Linked DNA regions of Saccharomyces cerevisiae S288C. The protein of the gene in region 3 interacts with the protein of the main gene of each other region in a biochemical or structural test. Each region holds a gene or a part of one and is shown on either strand. Other genes may lie near its edges. The genes, in order: SIR4, YKU70, YKU80 and NEJ1.

Region 1 (6,248 bases), on a different chromosome or scaffold from region 3:
AGGCTTCTCAAGAATTATAAGATCGGTTCTGGTATTTTAAAGAAGGCGGAAGGAACTAAACTGCTTCTCCATTGTAACTATATTAAGTGTCTATTAGACCTTTCTGTTTTTCCTTTTTATTTTTCTATATATAATTTATTGGGTATATAATTAACGGTAACATATGTCATGCATGATATAAATTTTTTGTTGTGTCTTCCTGTTTTCTCTGTTGCTCTGTTTAGGTTCATTGGGCACTGTTGCTTACTTGAACATGATTGAGTAGCAAACACATTCTGTGCTTTGTTCACTTTGATAGTGTGACGAAATTTTCACAACCAAAGGAAAAAAGCTCACGATTGCGCGATCCTGTCACGGAGAACTGTCCGCAGCAGCCCGCGGCTTCTGTCCTTATTCGCCCATTTTTTTTTGATTTTCGACTTTTTCACTCTGGCTAGTTTTATTACGCATATTTGTATATATATATACGCATAAATTTCTGAAATGGATTACCTGGTTTATCAGAAACGAGAGCTTTAATAAAGAAACATTAACGTTTCTCTGGTAAAGTCACCACACAGCATCAAATATAACAGTAATGTCTAGCTCAGAATCCATTAGAATGGTCCTAATTGGCCCACCTGGTGCCGGTAAAGGTACTCAAGCTCCAAATTTGCAAGAGCGTTTCCATGCCGCTCACTTGGCCACTGGTGACATGTTGAGATCTCAAATCGCAAAGGGCACTCAATTAGGTTTGGAAGCAAAGAAAATTATGGACCAAGGTGGTTTAGTCTCTGATGACATTATGGTTAACATGATCAAGGATGAATTGACCAACAATCCAGCTTGTAAGAATGGGTTCATCTTGGACGGTTTCCCAAGAACCATTCCTCAGGCTGAAAAATTGGACCAAATGTTGAAAGAACAAGGAACTCCTTTGGAAAAAGCCATCGAATTGAAGGTTGATGATGAATTGTTGGTTGCCAGAATTACCGGTAGATTAATTCACCCAGCCTCTGGCAGATCCTACCACAAGATCTTTAACCCACCAAAGGAAGACATGAAGGATGACGTCACCGGTGAAGCTTTAGTTCAAAGATCTGATGACAATGCAGACGCCTTGAAGAAGAGATTAGCTGCTTACCATGCTCAAACCGAACCAATTGTTGACTTTTACAAAAAGACCGGTATCTGGGCTGGTGTTGATGCTTCCCAACCTCCTGCTACTGTTTGGGCTGACATCTTGAACAAGCTAGGTAAGGATTAATGACCTTGCGCAATGTCTTCTAAATATCTTTTCTTTTTTTTAAATTAATGAAAATATAATAAATTTTTGTATGTGAGTACATATATCCGCAGTATACTATAAATGAAATAATAACATAAGTGTTTGTAACTGGCTATAACGTCCTTAAACATGTGCACTGCCATTAAGTACTTAGTCAATATTTTTATCGTTGAGAACGAACGCAAATCATATTACTAAATAGATGAACAAAAGCGCATCACATAAACAAAAACGGTATAACAGTAATAGTGAAGCTTTTTATAAACCTATAACGAAATAAGCGCTTTTCAGGTTTTATAATTCAGTCAGAGTTCTAACTGGACATCGTTTTGCAGGGGATAAAAAAAAAAAGGAAGCTTCAACCCACAATACCAAAAAAGCGAAGAAAACAGCCAATGCCAAATGACAATAAGACACCCAATAGGTCCAGCACTCCCAAGTTTACTAAAAAACCAGTAACCCCGAATGATAAAATTCCTGAAAGAGAAGAAAAATCCAATGAAGTGAAGACACCTAAAATTCCATTATTCACGTTTGCCAAAAGCAAAAACTATTCAAGGCCGTCAACCGCAATTCATACCTCACCTCATCAACCAAGTGATGTAAAACCGACTTCCCATAAACAGTTGCAACAGCCAAAATCCTCACCACTGAAAAAAAATAACTATAATTCTTTTCCTCACTCAAATCTGGAAAAAATAAGCAACAGCAAACTACTCTCCCTTCTTCGGTCCAAAACGTCAGCAGGAAGAATTGAATCAAACAATCCTTCACATGATGCTAGCAGGTCTCTAGCAAGTTTTGAACAAACAGCATTTTCCCGGCATGCGCAGCAACAAACTTCTACCTTCAATTCAAAGCCTGTACGTACCATAGTACCGATATCAACATCACAAACCAATAACTCATTTTTATCAGGAGTAAAAAGCTTACTAAGTGAAGAGAAAATAAGGGATTACTCTAAAGAGATTCTAGGCATAAACTTGGCAAACGAACAGCCTGTTTTAGAGAAGCCACTTAAAAAAGGATCAGCAGACATCGGCGCCTCTGTGATTTCTTTGACCAAGGACAAATCTATCAGGAAAGATACCGTAGAAGAAAAAAAAGAAGAAAAGTTGAATATAGGTAAAAACTTTGCCCATTCTGATTCACTATCAGTTCCGAAGGTTAGTGCCGGTGACAGTGGTATATCACCGGAGGAGAGCAAGGCAAGAAGTCCTGGAATTGCAAAACCGAATGCCATACAAACAGAAGTGTATGGAATAAATGAGGAATCTACTAACGAGCGTTTAGAAATAAATCAAGAAAAACCAGTAAAATTAGATGAGAATAGTGCAAATAGTACGGTCGCATCGGCCTTAGATACCAATGGGACGTCAGCCACGACAGAAACTCTAACATCAAAGAAGATCGTTCCATCTCCAAAAAAAGTCGCCATTGATCAAGATAAAATAACACTGCACGATGAGAAAACACTTGCACCTTCGAAGCATCAGCCTATAACATCTGAACAAAAAATGAAGGAAGACGCCGACCTCAAGAGGATGGAAATCTTAAAGTCACCTCATTTGTCGAAAAGTCCAGCTGACAGACCTCAAGGGCGTAGAAACAGCCGAAATTTTTCCACTAGAGATGAAGAAACTACAAAACTTGCTTTTCTTGTTGAATATGAAGGCCAAGAAAACAACTATAACTCTACTTCTCGAAGCACAGAAAAGAAAAATGATATGAACACTTCTGCAAAGAATAAAAATGGTGAAAACAAGAAAATTGGTAAGAGGCCGCCTGAAATCATGAGCACTGAAGCTCACGTAAACAAAGTAACCGAAGAAACCACAAAGCAGATACAGAGTGTACGAATAGATGGTCGAAAAGTGCTTCAAAAAGTACAAGGAGAATCCCACATTGATTCGAGAAACAATACCCTGAATGTTACACCATCAAAGAGGCCCCAGCTAGGAGAAATACCGAATCCTATGAAAAAGCATAAGCCTAATGAAGGGCGAACTCCAAATATCTCAAACGGTACAATAAACATCCAAAAGAAATTAGAGCCTAAGGAAATTGTGCGAGATATTTTGCATACGAAAGAATCATCAAATGAGGCTAAGAAAACTATTCAAAACCCTTTAAATAAATCACAAAACACTGCTCTTCCTTCCACACATAAAGTTACACAAAAAAAAGATATAAAAATTGGAACTAATGACCTTTTTCAGGTTGAATCTGCTCCAAAAATATCCTCAGAGATTGACCGGGAGAATGTTAAATCAAAGGATGAACCGGTTTCCAAGGCTGTTGAAAGCAAATCTTTATTAAATTTGTTTTCAAACGTACTCAAGGCTCCTTTCATTAAAAGTGAAAGCAAACCTTTTTCTAGTGATGCTCTGTCAAAAGAAAAAGCCAATTTTTTGGAAACTATCGCTTCCACTGAAAAGCCAGAAAATAAGACTGATAAGGTGTCTCTATCTCAGCCAGTTAGTGCAAGTAAGCATGAGTATAGCGATAATTTTCCAGTTTCTCTATCTCAACCTTCAAAGAAATCTTTCGCAAATCATACAGAGGATGAGCAAATTGAAAAAAAGAAGATCTGCCGTGGGAGAATGAATACGATAATAACTCACCCGGGAAAAATGGAGCTGGTATACGTGTCCGACTCAGACGATTCTTCTTCAGATAATGATAGCCTAACTGACTTGGAAAGTTTAAGCTCTGGTGAATCAAATGAAATCAAAGTAACTAATGATTTAGATACAAGTGCTGAAAAGGACCAAATTCAGGCAGGCAAATGGTTTGATCCTGTATTGGATTGGCGAAAATCTGATCGTGAATTGACGAAAAACATTCTTTGGAGGATAGCTGATAAAACGACATACGATAAAGAAACAATAACTGACCTTATTGAACAAGGGATCCCAAAACATAGTTATTTAAGTGGCAATCCATTAACTAGTGTGACTAACGACATTTGCTCTGTTGAAAACTATGAAACATCAAGTGCTTTCTTTTACCAACAAGTGCACAAGAAGGACAGATTACAATATTTGCCATTATATGCAGTTTCTACATTTGAAAACACAAATAACACTGAAAAAAATGATGTGACCAATAAAAATATCAATATAGGGAAACATAGCCAAGAACAAAATTCTTCTTCCGCTAAACCATCCCAAATTCCAACCGTGTCTTCTCCATTAGGATTCGAAGAAACAAAGCTAAGTACCACGCCTACTAAAAGCAATAGAAGAGTGTCGCATAGTGATACTAATTCTAGCAAACCCAAAAACACGAAGGAGAACCTTTCAAAAAGCTCTTGGAGGCAAGAATGGCTTGCAAATTTGAAACTTATTTCCGTTTCGTTGGTTGATGAGTTCCCTTCGGAGCTTTCCGACAGTGATAGACAAATAATTAACGAAAAAATGCAGTTACTTAAAGATATATTTGCTAACAACCTTAAATCAGCAATTTCCAATAATTTTAGAGAGAGTGACATCATTATACTGAAAGGTGAAATAGAAGATTACCCAATGAGTTCTGAAATTAAGATTTACTACAACGAATTACAGAACAAGCCTGATGCAAAAAAAGCCAGATTTTGGTCATTTATGAAGACTCAGAGATTTGTTTCCAACATGGGATTTGATATTCAGAAGTCCTGTGAACCTGTTTCTATATCCACGTCGGTCAAACCACATGTGGTCGAGCCCGAGCATATGGCAGATGCCAAAATTATGCCTAAGGATATACTGCAAATTACAAAAAAACCGTTAATGGTTAAAAATGTGAAGCCTTCTTCTCCGCCAGATGTGAAGTCTTTGGTGCAGCTGAGCACAATGGAAACGAAAACCCTACCAGAAAAGAAGCAATTCGACAGTATTTTTAATTCTAACAAAGCAAAAATAATCCCTGGAAATGGGAAGCACGCATCAGAAAACATCTCACTCTCTTTCTCAAGACCTGCGTCCTACGGCTATTTTTCTGTTGGAAAAAGGGTTCCAATCGTTGAAGATCGTCGAGTGAAACAACTCGACGATATAACAGACAGTAATACAACAGAAATTTTAACTAGTGTTGACGTTTTAGGAACACATTCACAAACTGGTACTCAACAATCAAATATGTACACATCAACCCAAAAAACAGAACTTGAAATTGATAATAAGGATAGTGTCACCGAATGTTCGAAGGACATGAAAGAAGATGGTCTTTCCTTTGTGGATATCGTTTTGTCGAAAGCAGCATCGGCGCTGGATGAAAAGGAAAAACAATTGGCTGTTGCAAATGAAATTATTCGGTCTTTGTCAGATGAAGTTATGAGGAATGAAATTAGAATAACTTCACTTCAAGGTGATTTAACTTTTACAAAGAAATGTCTTGAAAATGCGAGAAGTCAAATATCTGAAAAAGATGCTAAAATTAACAAATTGATGGAAAAAGATTTTCAAGTGAATAAGGAGATAAAACCGTATTGACTTTTTATCATTCTACAAAAGACCAGTAACGAAGTGTACCCTGTTTTTCTTTGTCGTTTTCTTCTATAATGAACAATTTACTTTACGGTCTTTAATCGATTTTAATGATTAGTTGGGCTTTTGGCTACATATGTAAAATTACATATAATATAATGGACACATAAGCAAAAAAAAAAAAAAAAAAAATAAACAAATGAGCAACCCATCAAATACCAAGAACAAAGAATTTAATATAATATATAGTTATTAAATTTAAATGTATATATGCAGTTCTGCTCTTATTTTGTGACCAATTTCTTTAAGTCATCCAAACCGACCTTGCCACTATTAGATTTGCTTGAATTTTGCGACGTTTCATGATAACATGTCGAGTGGAAATATTTGCCATTCACTTCAATAGTATTTTTCCAAACCCATTCACCAGATTCTTCATCATAAACGCCAGTAACGGTTTCCTTACAAATTGGACATTTGAAGGCCATATCTTGTGAAGTTTCTGGTACAACAAC
Region 2 (4,039 bases), 360 kb from region 3:
GGCACAACTCCATAACTCATTGGATATGAGGGCTATTTCACTATACTCTGTTGGGTATAAGAATGTTCATCCAGAAAATGCAGGTCTTGATAATGATAGAGGTGAGCCTGAAATTTCAAATTGGGCAAACACTTGGCGTGGTTTATTAGACTATCTATTTTATGTAAAGAAATGGGACCCACAAAGTAATTGTCAGGAAGTGGAAACCCTTGGCGATTTTGAAAAAGAAAATAAAGTTAAATGCAGAGGTTTTTTGAGAATGCCGCCCGGTAATGAAATGACAAAGCATGGACAACCACATGTTGGAGAATATGCAAGTGATCATTTGTCTATGGTGTGTGATTTAGAGTTACAACTATAGATTACTGTCGTGCATAAATATCTTGCTAATAGTTGTACAGTACAACGTTTAGCACGACAAAAGTTCTTAATAATAAATATTACATCAAATACCCTACCCTACCAAATATTGTATGTAACGTTATAGATATGAAGGATTTCAATCGTCTTTATATATTGAATTTCGGCTTTTTATCAAAGGGCTTCTTTTCTTCTTTTATCGAAATGTTATCATCGTTAAATTTTTTGTAGAACATATTCCAGATTTTAACATATTTATTTAGCCTTTGGATGATTGGATCTTCTGACTTCTCAGATTCTAAAATTTTATTTCGTATATAATATAGTTTCCTTAAAGAATCGTCCTCACGCATCATTCTGTCTTTTTTAGTATTAGGTGTCTCATTTTCGTCAAAAGTGGTTTCAATTTGCAACAGGTAATCATGTAAAACTTTGTAATGTTTTTGTAATAGTGGGTTTTTGAAATCGGATGGGTTATATCCATCCCTCAAGTTAAAGTATCCCATTATACTTTGAGTTACTTTTTTCATGTTATCATAATCTAGTTTATGTTCAGAGCCATCATCATAGGATAGTAAACTAGGAAATTTTCGAATTTCGTCTAGGAATGGAACCCTGTAGAGATAAAATCCTTCGTTGTAGTCCTTCACGCTTGAGGGTGATAACGTATATAGTGAAGGATGTGAATTTGATTTAAGCTTCCCCCATAATATTGCAATTTTATCTTTTTTTCTCAAAATTTTTAATAAAGAAGCCAAGGTTCTTATCGAACCTTCATATTTTGCTTCATCTGGTACGATAAACGAACTTTTGTCTATGTTATTGAAATAGTGTATCGATTTGCTCGATGAACGGAACCCAATAATCTTCAAAAACGCATCTTTTTGAGTATAAGCCTCCATTACTATCTGATCTTGACTATCTGATAGATTGATATCGAGGTCACCATAAGGATAAACCTTGACAGTTTTACCAGTAACGTCTTCTCCTGTTATAGGATTTAAAAATTTTCTTTTTGAATATGCTTCTTGTCTGATATCTTCATGCTCATAAACAAGTTTATACCTGACTCCAGCTTTTTCATGGGTATACATAGTGTAACCCTTGACTCCGACTATAAAATTTGTTTTCTCATCCAAGATTAATGGACATTGAAACATTATCCTCTTTACCTCCTTTTTCCTTAGGATTCTGGACTTGATGTATTTAGCATCTATAGGCTTTGTACTTGGACCATCAAATTCAGAATCCAAACCAGTATTCTCATTTGTATGTGAACCCAACTGCAGTATGTCCGAATAAAACTCGTTGTCAAATGGTTTATCGGCATAGCCAATAAAAAAAGTTGCAAAATTCACTTTGTTATCAAATAAATCAATTGTAAGCCTTCTCAATCTTGCCCGTTCATCGATATCTTGCGCCTCTTGTGGTTTATCAATGTCAGTGAATAAGAACACTCTCTTGTTGCTTAATTGCTTTTGACCCGGAATCTCTTCCAAAAAAGTGTCAAGCATGAATGTGAATAATACAGATAAGCGCACTTGCTTTTCACTCCCAGTTTGTTGAAACATAAAATAGTCGTATAGGCTTATTCTCCCCGATGATAAATCTTCTAAAAGATCGTTCAATTTCTTCATAAATGTAGCATTTATATCCCTTAATGGAAAAAGTTCATAGATACCTTCCTTGGCATCCTCTCTGTTACAGTAATAAAAATAGCAACCAATAGCTGTCCCAGGTCTTGTTATGACCAATTGTGACATTAGCTCATCTAGTGATTCCAGAATTTCCAACAATGGTGATTTATACTCTAGATCAGAGGACTCTTTAAACATTGTCTCTGATAGTTCAATGCAAAACAAAATTCCTTCATGGATATCAAACTTCCTATAACCTGTTTCATCCACTTGATCGTTAAGTTCTCCACTATTGCCAAATGCATTAGTGACTGAGCGCATAATATTCCCGTTTTAAAATCAGGCTTAGAGTCACTTAACAAATCATAGCTTTACTGTTGAAAACTAGAACAGTAATACAGAGAATGTCATTTGGTAGCTACCTTAAAGCAATCCCTAATACATGAAATTGAGAATCTTCAAAAATTAAGGTAATCAAAAGTAAAAAAATATCTCCCGGGGGCGAGTCGAACGCCCGATCTCAAGATTTCGTAGTGGTAAATTACAGTCTTGCGCCTTAAACCAACTTGGCTACCGAGAGTCAATTAACTGATAACCATTCAATTATGAGTCCGTCTAATATCATGCTTATTCACAATTTTAATATAAGCAACCTTGCAGAAGTGACCTGTTGTCAAAACGGAATATCAACTTGATTGAGGGGATGATAATTATCCTATATATTCTATAAATATGGATTATACTGAATATTGGGTGAATAATTTGATAATTGTTGGGATTGCATTGTTGATCAAGGCTATATAATATTATGTACACAGAATATATTAGAAGTTCTCCTCGAGGATAGAAATCTCAAAATGGAATCTATATTTCTACATAATAAAATTACGATTATTCCTCATTCCGTTTATATGTTTCATTATCCTATTACATTATCAATCCTTGCACTTCAGCTTCCATTATACTTGATAACTATTTCTCAATCCTTATTTTATGTTTTTCCACCGCATATTATAATATGCCAGTAATATTTATTCTTATTAATGGTCGTTAATTTCACACCAGGCGTGTTTATAACTGAGTAATCACTTTAAATTTGAGCATCCGGTTTTGCACCGTTAATAGTATCATTGTTAATTAGTAGGCAGGTTGTAGTATATTCTAAGAATAAAACAGGTGCCCTTAATCTGTACAAGAGAAGAGTATGAAATATGAATTACATTGGGCATATCGACTATACGCAATATATCAGTAGCTTCGACGATTTAGGTAGGTATAAGGGTTTCCTATACCTGTATACACAAATTTCAAACTTATGGCCGAGCCAGATAGTCCTTTAGCTATGCCTTCCATTACTTCTTGGAAAGCTTGTTGCATTTCCCGTCATATTATGTACGGTTACAACTTTTTTGTTGATTTCCATGCCCGAAGGGAGCTTAGCATAGCCGCTATTACATAATCTTATCATCTTCATCAAAAATGAACTTCTAAAATCATCCCACCACTCTATTGCTCTTCATATATGCGTTGTATGTTTATGTGCTTTGTTCTTATTACTGCTTAACTGTGACTGGGCCCATTATTCATTGTTCATATGCAGGAAAAAAAAAGCATGCTTGAAAATTTTGATCTCTTGATGGATGGTATCGAGGCTATCAAAGAGATATAGATCCAGAGTACAGTTTAGTATATCCGTGATGGATGAAAATATTTATCTTTCGCTATCTCAGATAAATAAAGACATCAGAAAGGAAAACAAGTCCGTAAGGAATCGACTTCAGAGTATTCTTTTAGACAATAAATTTTTGCAAGATCGAGTTATCCCTATATTTCCCCATTATCCACTGATACCCAATGAAAGATGTGGGCTATGGTACTGTAATCCATCAAGTTTCAAACAGACCAGTTACTTTAAGAGCACAGACGGGCATGTCAACCAATGGGACTTTAGCACCCGAAGATTGAACTTTCATTTGTTAGAGACCATTCGAGATAATAAAGGTATTATAATTGTCGATAGTACTAGAAGAGGTAAAAAAATC
Region 3 (4,416 bases):
ATCAACTATTTCTTTTACACTTTTCAACCCCTGTTTGTTCCTGGAACTGCACATAACAAAAGTATAACGTCCCCTTTCACGTAAGTTCCCCACGAAAAAAGTAGTGCGCGACACCACCCCTTTTCGTGAGCTCCGCGCTTCTCTTCACCGAGCCTAAGTTGGGCCTCTCCCCCCTAGAAAGAACAAGTTGGCCCTGTTGTCCTTAGCTCGCAAGCTCAGGGGCAGCAGCGTGTGTTGAGATTAGAGAACCGCTCGACCTCAACGGATGATAGTATGATTTTAGTACATACAGGGAACGTCCTCTACCCACGTTTTATTGTTGTTGCATTTACTTTTGAACAGCGACAGGGGGGAAGGTGTAAAGGAGGAAAAGCAACCTGCATGGCTAGTGTTCAAAGTTACAAGGTAACAATGCAAATCAGTAGTATGACAATTATTTACCCGCTATTTATTTTTTTTTCTCTTTAACTGTGGTGACGAAAACATAACTCAAAGGATGTTAGACCTTTTTTAATTATTGCTATTGTTTGGACTTCCCCTACTGTGTTGTTCACCGCGCTTCAATAGCGTTTCTAGGTCCGGGATCTTTTCCCTCTCAAGCTCAGTTTTTAGTTCGGAGTCGAGTTTTAATTTGTCTACTTTCTTGATGCCGAGCACTTCAACCAATTTTGTGCTATCAAATTTCTTGTGCGTGTAAGGACTTATTTTGTTTTTCAATGAGTCAGGAAGCTCTGGGATTTCAAATTCCCTGGAATCATTGATCATCAGTTGGTGAATCCATTCCAGTAGCACCTGTTGTTGCCTGTAGACAAAAACCGTGGGTATTCTAAGAGGATCCTTTTTGTTTTCCTCTTGGTCTTTATTTAAAGAGGGAAGTGGGAGAGTGGTGTCTGTTGTTACTTCGCCTATGGGTTGATAGTAGTTGCCTAACGGAATCTCTGGTAGCTCATCTGTATCCATTGAATCTACAAATTGTTCCATAAGCTCATCGATTTGATGCCCGTCTGTTTCCTTTTTCAGCGGTACCCCGGATGTAGTTGTTCGATCCAGAAGTTTTGGAAAATCAGTTACCCTCTCGTCTTCCGCGAATGGTAATCTACACAAGGTAAGGCTCTTAACAAACTTCTTCTCGGAATTAATGTTACTGTGCTCAATTAGAACGGGACACAATGCACACATATTCACTTCACTGTCTTTCTTGCTCACATATCTTGCAACAGCAATTTTTCTATTTTCTAGCATAACATCCACTAGAGCACTGAAAGCCATTAAGTCAGATTGACAGCCAAGTCTTGTGTCGGCGGTAATGAAGGAGGATTCCGACGTCAAAAAGTACCTTGGAAGAGCTTCTCTATTCAAAAATCCTCTTAAATCCAAGCCTGGAAAAGATTCATATACAGTTTGATCGACTAGAACGGACGGTAGCACTACGTAGTCTGCACCATAACGGTATGCCTTCGTTACAGAGTCTTTGGAGATGGTCACGGGAATGTATGACGATCCAGACTGGTCATCTTCACTGACATTTTTCTTATTTCCTTCGTTGTGAATTTCATATTCGATTATGGATTTGACCCCCACATACCTTTCTTTCTTCTGGGAGTCTTCCACCTCAACAGCGGTTTTCCTATTTAAGCCTGAAACTGCTTTCGTAGCAGGAAAAGCCTCTACCTTGATACATAAGCAATTTTCATCTTGCATGCTGCCGCTAGGATTCGATGTTTGTGTTGATAATATATCTGCCCCTAACCTAAGCTCGCCTGAGAATACTCTTACTGGCTTAACGACAGATGTTGCTGGGGAAGTGATTTCAACAAGAAGTTCATTCATATTGTAGATTCTTGAATTCGGTATCGCTTCGACCAACTTTAACCAGTTCGATTTTTTCCTCTCCTCTTGAGTGTCTTTACCGCAATCAATCAAAATGATTCTTGTGCTTAATTCTTCCGTTAGCAGGTCTATTTCTTCATCAGTAATATCCAGATCATCTAAATTGTCTGTAAATACAACAATTTGTTTTAGAATTTTTCTTGCTTGAAATTGTTGTTTAATATCTAATGAGACGACCAACAGACATTGAATCATTGATTGTAAGCCTTCATTCGAACTATCATGACTGTGCTGATCACAATATTGTTTCAGGCGTTTTATAAACCCAATGGTGGCCGTCGTGGTAACAGGAGCCAAAAAGGATTGTATTTGGAACACATTTGGTATTTCCTGGGAATTCTCAGATACGGGACAATTAGCGAGATAACAGCTTATCCAATCTGTTTTTCTACTTTTTTTAGATTTGTTTAATAGAGTGTACTCTAGATATGCCATAGATTTGGAAACATTATTATTTTTCATCATTGATGGTGAAACATCCACGATGAAAGTTGTTGACTCACTTGACATTATTATGGTGTGAGATATATTATTTGTGCATATGTCCTGCACTCTCGTTAATTAGGTTTTCTTCTCTTGATGATGCCCTTTTTTTTTATTCATTTTTTTGCATGACAACAAATGCCCTGACGGACATGCGGTAATCTAGTTGAAAAAATAGTCAAATTGTGTCGACACTGTAAAAAGGTACTTCCGCTAATAGACTACAAACATTACTCCAAGACCAGAAACAGAAATACGTTACAATAGTGTTGTCGAATCCTGGCAATGGTAAATTGTTTTTAACGCCCTCCAACTGCTAATCTTTGGTTGACGGTACATTCATCTATTATAAGAACTAAATATATAGATTAACTAGAAAAGGCCAGATGTCTTAAGTGTATATATTTTGAATGAGAATTATGTATGCAGCATATTTACTTGAATCTTCAAAAAAAGAAGCCCTGTAGGGGGCTCGAACCCCTAACCTTATGATTAAGAGTCATACGCGCTACCGATTGCGCCAACAAGGCTACTTATTGTTATTTACCGTCAGCTTGTATTCTTATATGTTGAGCTGGTTTTTTATCTCAGCTTTTACTTTCTCAAAGTTAATAAAACTATTCTTCTAGAACTTTTTTTCTGGATTTCGGTTGCTGAACTAGTTCAACAAAAATATTTATTTTAAAATTAAACTGGTTCAAGGTCTCATAGTCGATCATTTCCAATCAATCAAAGCAACCCACAAATCCTAGGCTGAATCATGATATCGATGGAAGCAATCAACAATTTTATCAAGACCGCACCAAAGCACGACTATCTGACAGGCGGAGTTCATCATTCTGGTAATGTAGACGTGTTACAATTAAGCGGCAATAAAGAAGATGGTAGTTTAGTATGGAACCATACTTTTGTTGATGTAGACAACAATGTGGTAGCTAAGTTTGAAGACGCTCTCGAAAAACTTGAAAGTTTGCACCGGCGCTCATCCTCATCCACAGGCAATGAAGAACACGCTAACGTTTAACCGAGGGGAGTCACTTCATAATGATGTGAGAAATAAGTGAATATTGTAATAATTGTTGGGACTCCATTGTCAACAAAAGCTATAATGTAGGTATACAGTATATACTAGAAGTTCTCCTCGAGGATCTTGGAATCCACAAAAGGGAGTCGATAAATCTATATAATAAAAATTACTTTATCTTCTTTCGTTTTATACGTTGTCGTTTATTATCCTATTACGTTATCAATCTTCGCATTTCAGCTTTCATTAGATTTGATGACTGTTTCTCAAACTTTATGTCATTTTCTTACACCGCATATGATTATATACTAGAAACATGAATACTACTAAATAGATGATAAATGGAGTTTCATTGCAATGGTGATAATGATTGTGATTTTATTTGTTGGAATAACAATCAACTATCATCCATTCACTGGTATCAATATTACTGGTATATTATCTTATATGGTGTAGGAAGATGGCATAATATTGAGAAACGGCTATCGGATGTGGTAAAAGCTAAAATGCGAAGATTGATAATGTAACAGGATAGTGAACGACAACGCATAAAATGGAAAAAGAGGTAATATCGTTATTATGTAAAATTATTTGTGTCCTTTGTGGACTCTAAGATCCTTGGAAATTTAAATGACCGGAGAATGAGGTCGCTATAATAGTTTCTATACTCATGGAAAATGCAACCGATAAACCATTATAAATCTTCGCGGTTATCTGGCATTGTTATTAACCAAAAAAATGCCGGCCTATTACAAGCTACTGTTCAATAAATATTGTTGTAATGAAGACGGTCCAACTGTACAAATACAGCAAACTGTCATATATAAGGAGTCTTATGTGACAGCACTTGCGTTATTGTCAGCCGGAGTATGTCTTTGTCGCATTCTGGGCTTTTTACTTTCTGCTCAGAAGGAAGTACGAACAAGAAAAAAAAATCACCAATGCTTCCCTTTTCAGTATTAGTTTCATATTTGTTTACGTTCAAACTCGTCGTTTGCGCGATAACCTCTAAAAAAGTC
Region 4 (3,540 bases), on a different chromosome or scaffold from region 3:
ATTGAGAATTTGCAGACTCTACTGAAGGAAAACGATAACAATAATGCGAAACCGGTGTATTGCAGGAGTTCAGAAAATCCATTACGGTCACTGAGAACTTCGGTTTTAGGTGATAATGGCTCGAGGTATGTGTTTGGCCCCACTTCCTGGAAAACTTTATCTTTGTTTGAACAAAATAAGTTTCAAACTGAGTTTCAAAATTTATGGAAAGTCTTGAAACCACTTCCTGAATGCACTAAATCGCAATTAAATGAAAATGATGTTGTAGCAGATTTGCCTAGTTTTCCTCAAATGGAAAGCTGTATTAAATCTTTTTTTGCTGGACCGCTGTTCGGCATATTGCATATCTTCAACCAAGACGATATTCTGTCCCTCTTGGACAGACTTTTTATTAGAGATACCACGGACAAGAACCTAGTCATCCTCCTCGATTTGCAAGGTAATGCAAAAGATAAGTATAATCTTGGCATTGTACTTCAAATTCTTTGCTTGGGCTATTATAACCAAGATATCCCTTCTTCCGTGAGTCATTTCCTTCACACTTTAAGTGCAGCGTCCTTGTCATCATCGAGCTCAAATTTCGTGGAAAAACTACAATTTTTCTTATTGTCCTATATTAGTGTAATGATAAATTGCACGGACGGTGTATGGGATGCGACTCAAGGCGTTGACTTAATCAACGAGCTATGCCAGGGGTGCATAAGTTTGGGTTTAAATGATATTGATAAATGGTATTTGAACGAAAGTGAGGAAACCAAACAAAACTTGAGGTGTATTTGGTTTTGGGCTTTATTCCTTGATGTATCCACCTCATATGATATAGGTAATCCTCCGTCTATTTCAGATGATCTTTTGGACTTAAGTATATTTACTGCGCAGAATTTCCAATCACCGAGTATTGACTTTAGGAGAGTTAAGCTAATGCACGATTTTTTAGATGTTTCCCGATTCACTACTCGTGAAATTCACAAGAGAGAGATGAACGAAAAATTGACCACTTTTTCATTGAGATTGATTGAATTTATACAATCTAACTTTTCACCTATCGAACATTATACAAATTCAGTTTACTACTCTGATATTGATCCCTTTGATATATTGATTTTATCAAGATCTCTAAGTATAGTTGCTAGTATATACAATATTGAGATGATCATCGCTCAACAAAGCAGAATCATAGATAAGAACAGAATGGTTCAGTTCTTGTTGATATCCATATCAGTCTGTGTTAATACAATGGTATTTCATTTTAAAGAGCCTATCAACGACCAGGAGAACGTGTTAACTGAAGGGCTAAAACTGTCTATTATTCTAATCAATCCACTTTTAATACGAATAGTATCGCAAGTGTACAGTTTAGCATTTAATAGGTTAATCTTCAGGGAGAAGGCATTCCTTTTCCTTATTGACCTTGACACTGGGAAAAAAATACAATTCATTAAATATGAAGAAGAAAACTTTGATGAACTTTTGACAGGATTCGATGTTAGGACTGATAAATTTCTGTCATTTTCAGGAACAATAATAAGATTTTACGAAATTATTGATAGCATATTTGCTGTTAATGAAAGAAATAAGCGATTGTTAAAAGCAGTTTCCAATTTTTATCAGTTAACTTCAACTTTGGCGTTTGAACGCGTAAGTAGGGTTTTATTCGATAAAGCGTCCCAAGCAAGAATAGAGACTGAAAAAATTTGGCTGAAAAAGGGCATTAATATGGAGCACTTCAGTGATCTCATGATTGAAGATTTTATTAATGATGTTTGGAAAACGTTCAAAGAGATTTCCAAAGACCTTTGGTCCATTGACAAAAAGAAATTTTATAAACAATATCATTTCGATTTATAAATGTATTTATGATTGATGTATTTTTTTACATGGATTTTTTCGTCCCAAAAAGGGATGATAGTGTTGGCAGCGGGCAAACACAAAATAGTGTCATATAAGTGGAAACCCTATGGAGAATAACCATAACAACGGCCAGATAGGAGGTTAATCTTACACATGTGTGATGGATTCTGAGTTGAAAGGGCAGCAGCTAAGTGATGCAGAATGGTGTGTTAAAAAAATTAATGGTGAGGGAAATTGTCTCCTATTATTTCTACCGATGTCATCTCCAACCACAATTGTAATGATTGTTTTAGTTTCCTTGGAGCGCTTAGTTCCCTACGTTTTCAAACTTTCACAAACTCAATTATCACAGCAATGCCAGAGCCAAGGTTTTACGGATAGTATATCATTAAATCTAATTAAACTAAAACTAATGGACATTCTACAAGCTCCTCAAGAAATTAACCAAATTGGATTGGTAGATTCAAATTTGGTTTTTAGTTTCGATGTATCTGCGGATATTACAGTTTCCATAAATAGCGTACCTTCACATGTTACTAAGGATATGTTCTATATGATTTTGCAAAGTTTATGCATGCTTTTATTAAAATTGGTAAACCTTTCCACCCAATACCACTATGTACAACGGGATATTTTGAATGAAAAGCAAAAATGCTTAGATTTTCTTTTAATTTCTCTTCGTGATTTAGACGGTGGGAGTAAAGTTATCAGTCAATGGGCTCCTGAAAATTCTAAGAATTATGAATCTCTGCAGCAATGCACAGACGATGACATAATCAAAAAATTACTACATAAAGGAAAATTCCAGCATCAAGAATTTCTGGCGGACTCATTAAAAACATTATTATCTTTAAGAAACAAATTTCAAGATGTGTCGCGGTTTGAAGAATCTGGAGAACTTAACAAAAAAGAGCGCGTCAGATTTCCTGCGGTGAATCATTTTTATAATGATGATTTTGAATTGCAAGCAGACCCTACAAATGAGGCTCGACCAAATAGCCGCGGTAAAATTAAACCAAAGACAGATTTCAAGCCAAAATCTAGAGAAAGTAGTACCAGTTCGCAACTTCGCCTGGAGAATTTTTCTGAATCTGAGGCTACACCAGAAAAAACAAAATCAAGTTCTTCTTTGGTCGAAGAATACCCACAGAAAAAAAGAAAATTTGGAAAGGTGAGAATAAAAAACTAAGGCAAGTCAATTAAACGTCAAAAATTAAGGTTGGACCTTTCAAATAGTTCTATTCCTTTGTTGACGCATTGATAATGTTAATTTATTGAATGGTAACGTTATGCCATTGATAGGGAGCATATAAGTTTATATGTATTAGGACAGTTCTAATTGTTTATTATTAATCTAACGGTAGTTTCAAGCAGTATCTTACATCACTGCAGCTTCTGAGTGTCTAAATGATAAACTGCATAAAAAATAGCCGCGCAAGCTCGCCATCACTGTAAATGAAATTTAGACGCAAAACATAACCGCGGATGTAAACTTACTTAATAAGAGCGATTGGCAAAAGAGCCACAAAAAAAAATTGGATCAATATCTGGTGCATGGGTCTAAAAAAATTAAGCAAAACCACAACACCACGCGTTATGACAGCAGTTTTAGAGACTGTTTCTTTCTCTTCTATTGTATGAAGTAATCAGATTATTATATTGAGTAAGTACATGAATGTAATATTTAAA

The links.
Region 1: the proteins of YKU80 (region 3) and SIR4 form a complex in vitro, tested with the Saccharomyces cerevisiae proteins (2 studies listed by BioGRID, with this or other methods).
Region 2: the proteins of YKU80 (region 3) and YKU70 are reported together in a solved structure, tested with the Saccharomyces cerevisiae proteins (4 studies listed by BioGRID, with this or other methods).
Region 4: the proteins of YKU80 (region 3) and NEJ1 form a complex in vitro, tested with the Saccharomyces cerevisiae proteins (one study listed by BioGRID).

What each region holds. Positions count from the first base shown.
Region 1 is NC_001136.10:915,909-922,156, forward strand, and holds SIR4 (chromatin-silencing protein SIR4), read left to right. Parts: upstream 1-1,662; coding exon 1,663-5,739; downstream 5,740-6,248. Other genes in the region: HTA1 (histone H2A), read left to right, coding at 1-20; adenylate kinase ADK1, read left to right, coding at 578-1,246; PCF11 (Pcf11p), read right to left, coding at 6,018-6,248. UniProt on the Saccharomyces cerevisiae protein: The proteins SIR1 through SIR4 are required for transcriptional repression of the silent mating type loci, HML and HMR. The proteins SIR2 through SIR4 repress mulitple loci by modulating chromatin structure.
Region 2 is NC_001145.3:836,466-840,504, reverse strand, and holds YKU70 (ATP-dependent DNA helicase YKU70), read right to left. Parts: upstream 2,319-4,039; coding exon 510-2,318; downstream 1-509. Other genes in the region: NGL2 (RNA exonuclease), read left to right, coding at 1-361; RIT1 (tRNA A64-2'-O-ribosylphosphate transferase), read left to right, coding at 3,638-4,039. UniProt on the Saccharomyces cerevisiae protein: Single-stranded DNA-dependent ATP-dependent helicase. Involved in non-homologous end joining (NHEJ) DNA double strand break repair. DNA-binding is sequence-independent but has a high affinity to nicks in double-stranded DNA and to the ends of duplex DNA.
Region 3 is NC_001145.3:477,791-482,206, forward strand, and holds YKU80 (ATP-dependent DNA helicase YKU80), read right to left. Parts: upstream 2,401-4,416; coding exon 511-2,400; downstream 1-510. Other genes in the region: YMR105W-A (uncharacterized protein), read left to right, coding at 274-468; YMR106W-A (uncharacterized protein), read left to right, coding at 3,134-3,397. UniProt on the Saccharomyces cerevisiae protein: Single-stranded DNA-dependent ATP-dependent helicase. Involved in non-homologous end joining (NHEJ) DNA double strand break repair. DNA-binding is sequence-independent but has a high affinity to nicks in double-stranded DNA and to the ends of duplex DNA.
Region 4 is NC_001144.5:673,927-677,466, reverse strand, and holds NEJ1 (Nej1p), read left to right. Parts: upstream 1-2,011; coding exon 2,012-3,040; downstream 3,041-3,540. Other genes in the region: PDR8 (Pdr8p), read left to right, coding at 1-1,848; YLR264C-A (uncharacterized protein), read left to right, coding at 3,523-3,540. UniProt on the Saccharomyces cerevisiae protein: Involved in non-homologous end joining (NHEJ). Facilitates the transport of LIF1 into the nucleus, where it can interact with DNA ligase DNL4 to repair double-strand breaks (DSB). Mediates mating-type regulation of NHEJ.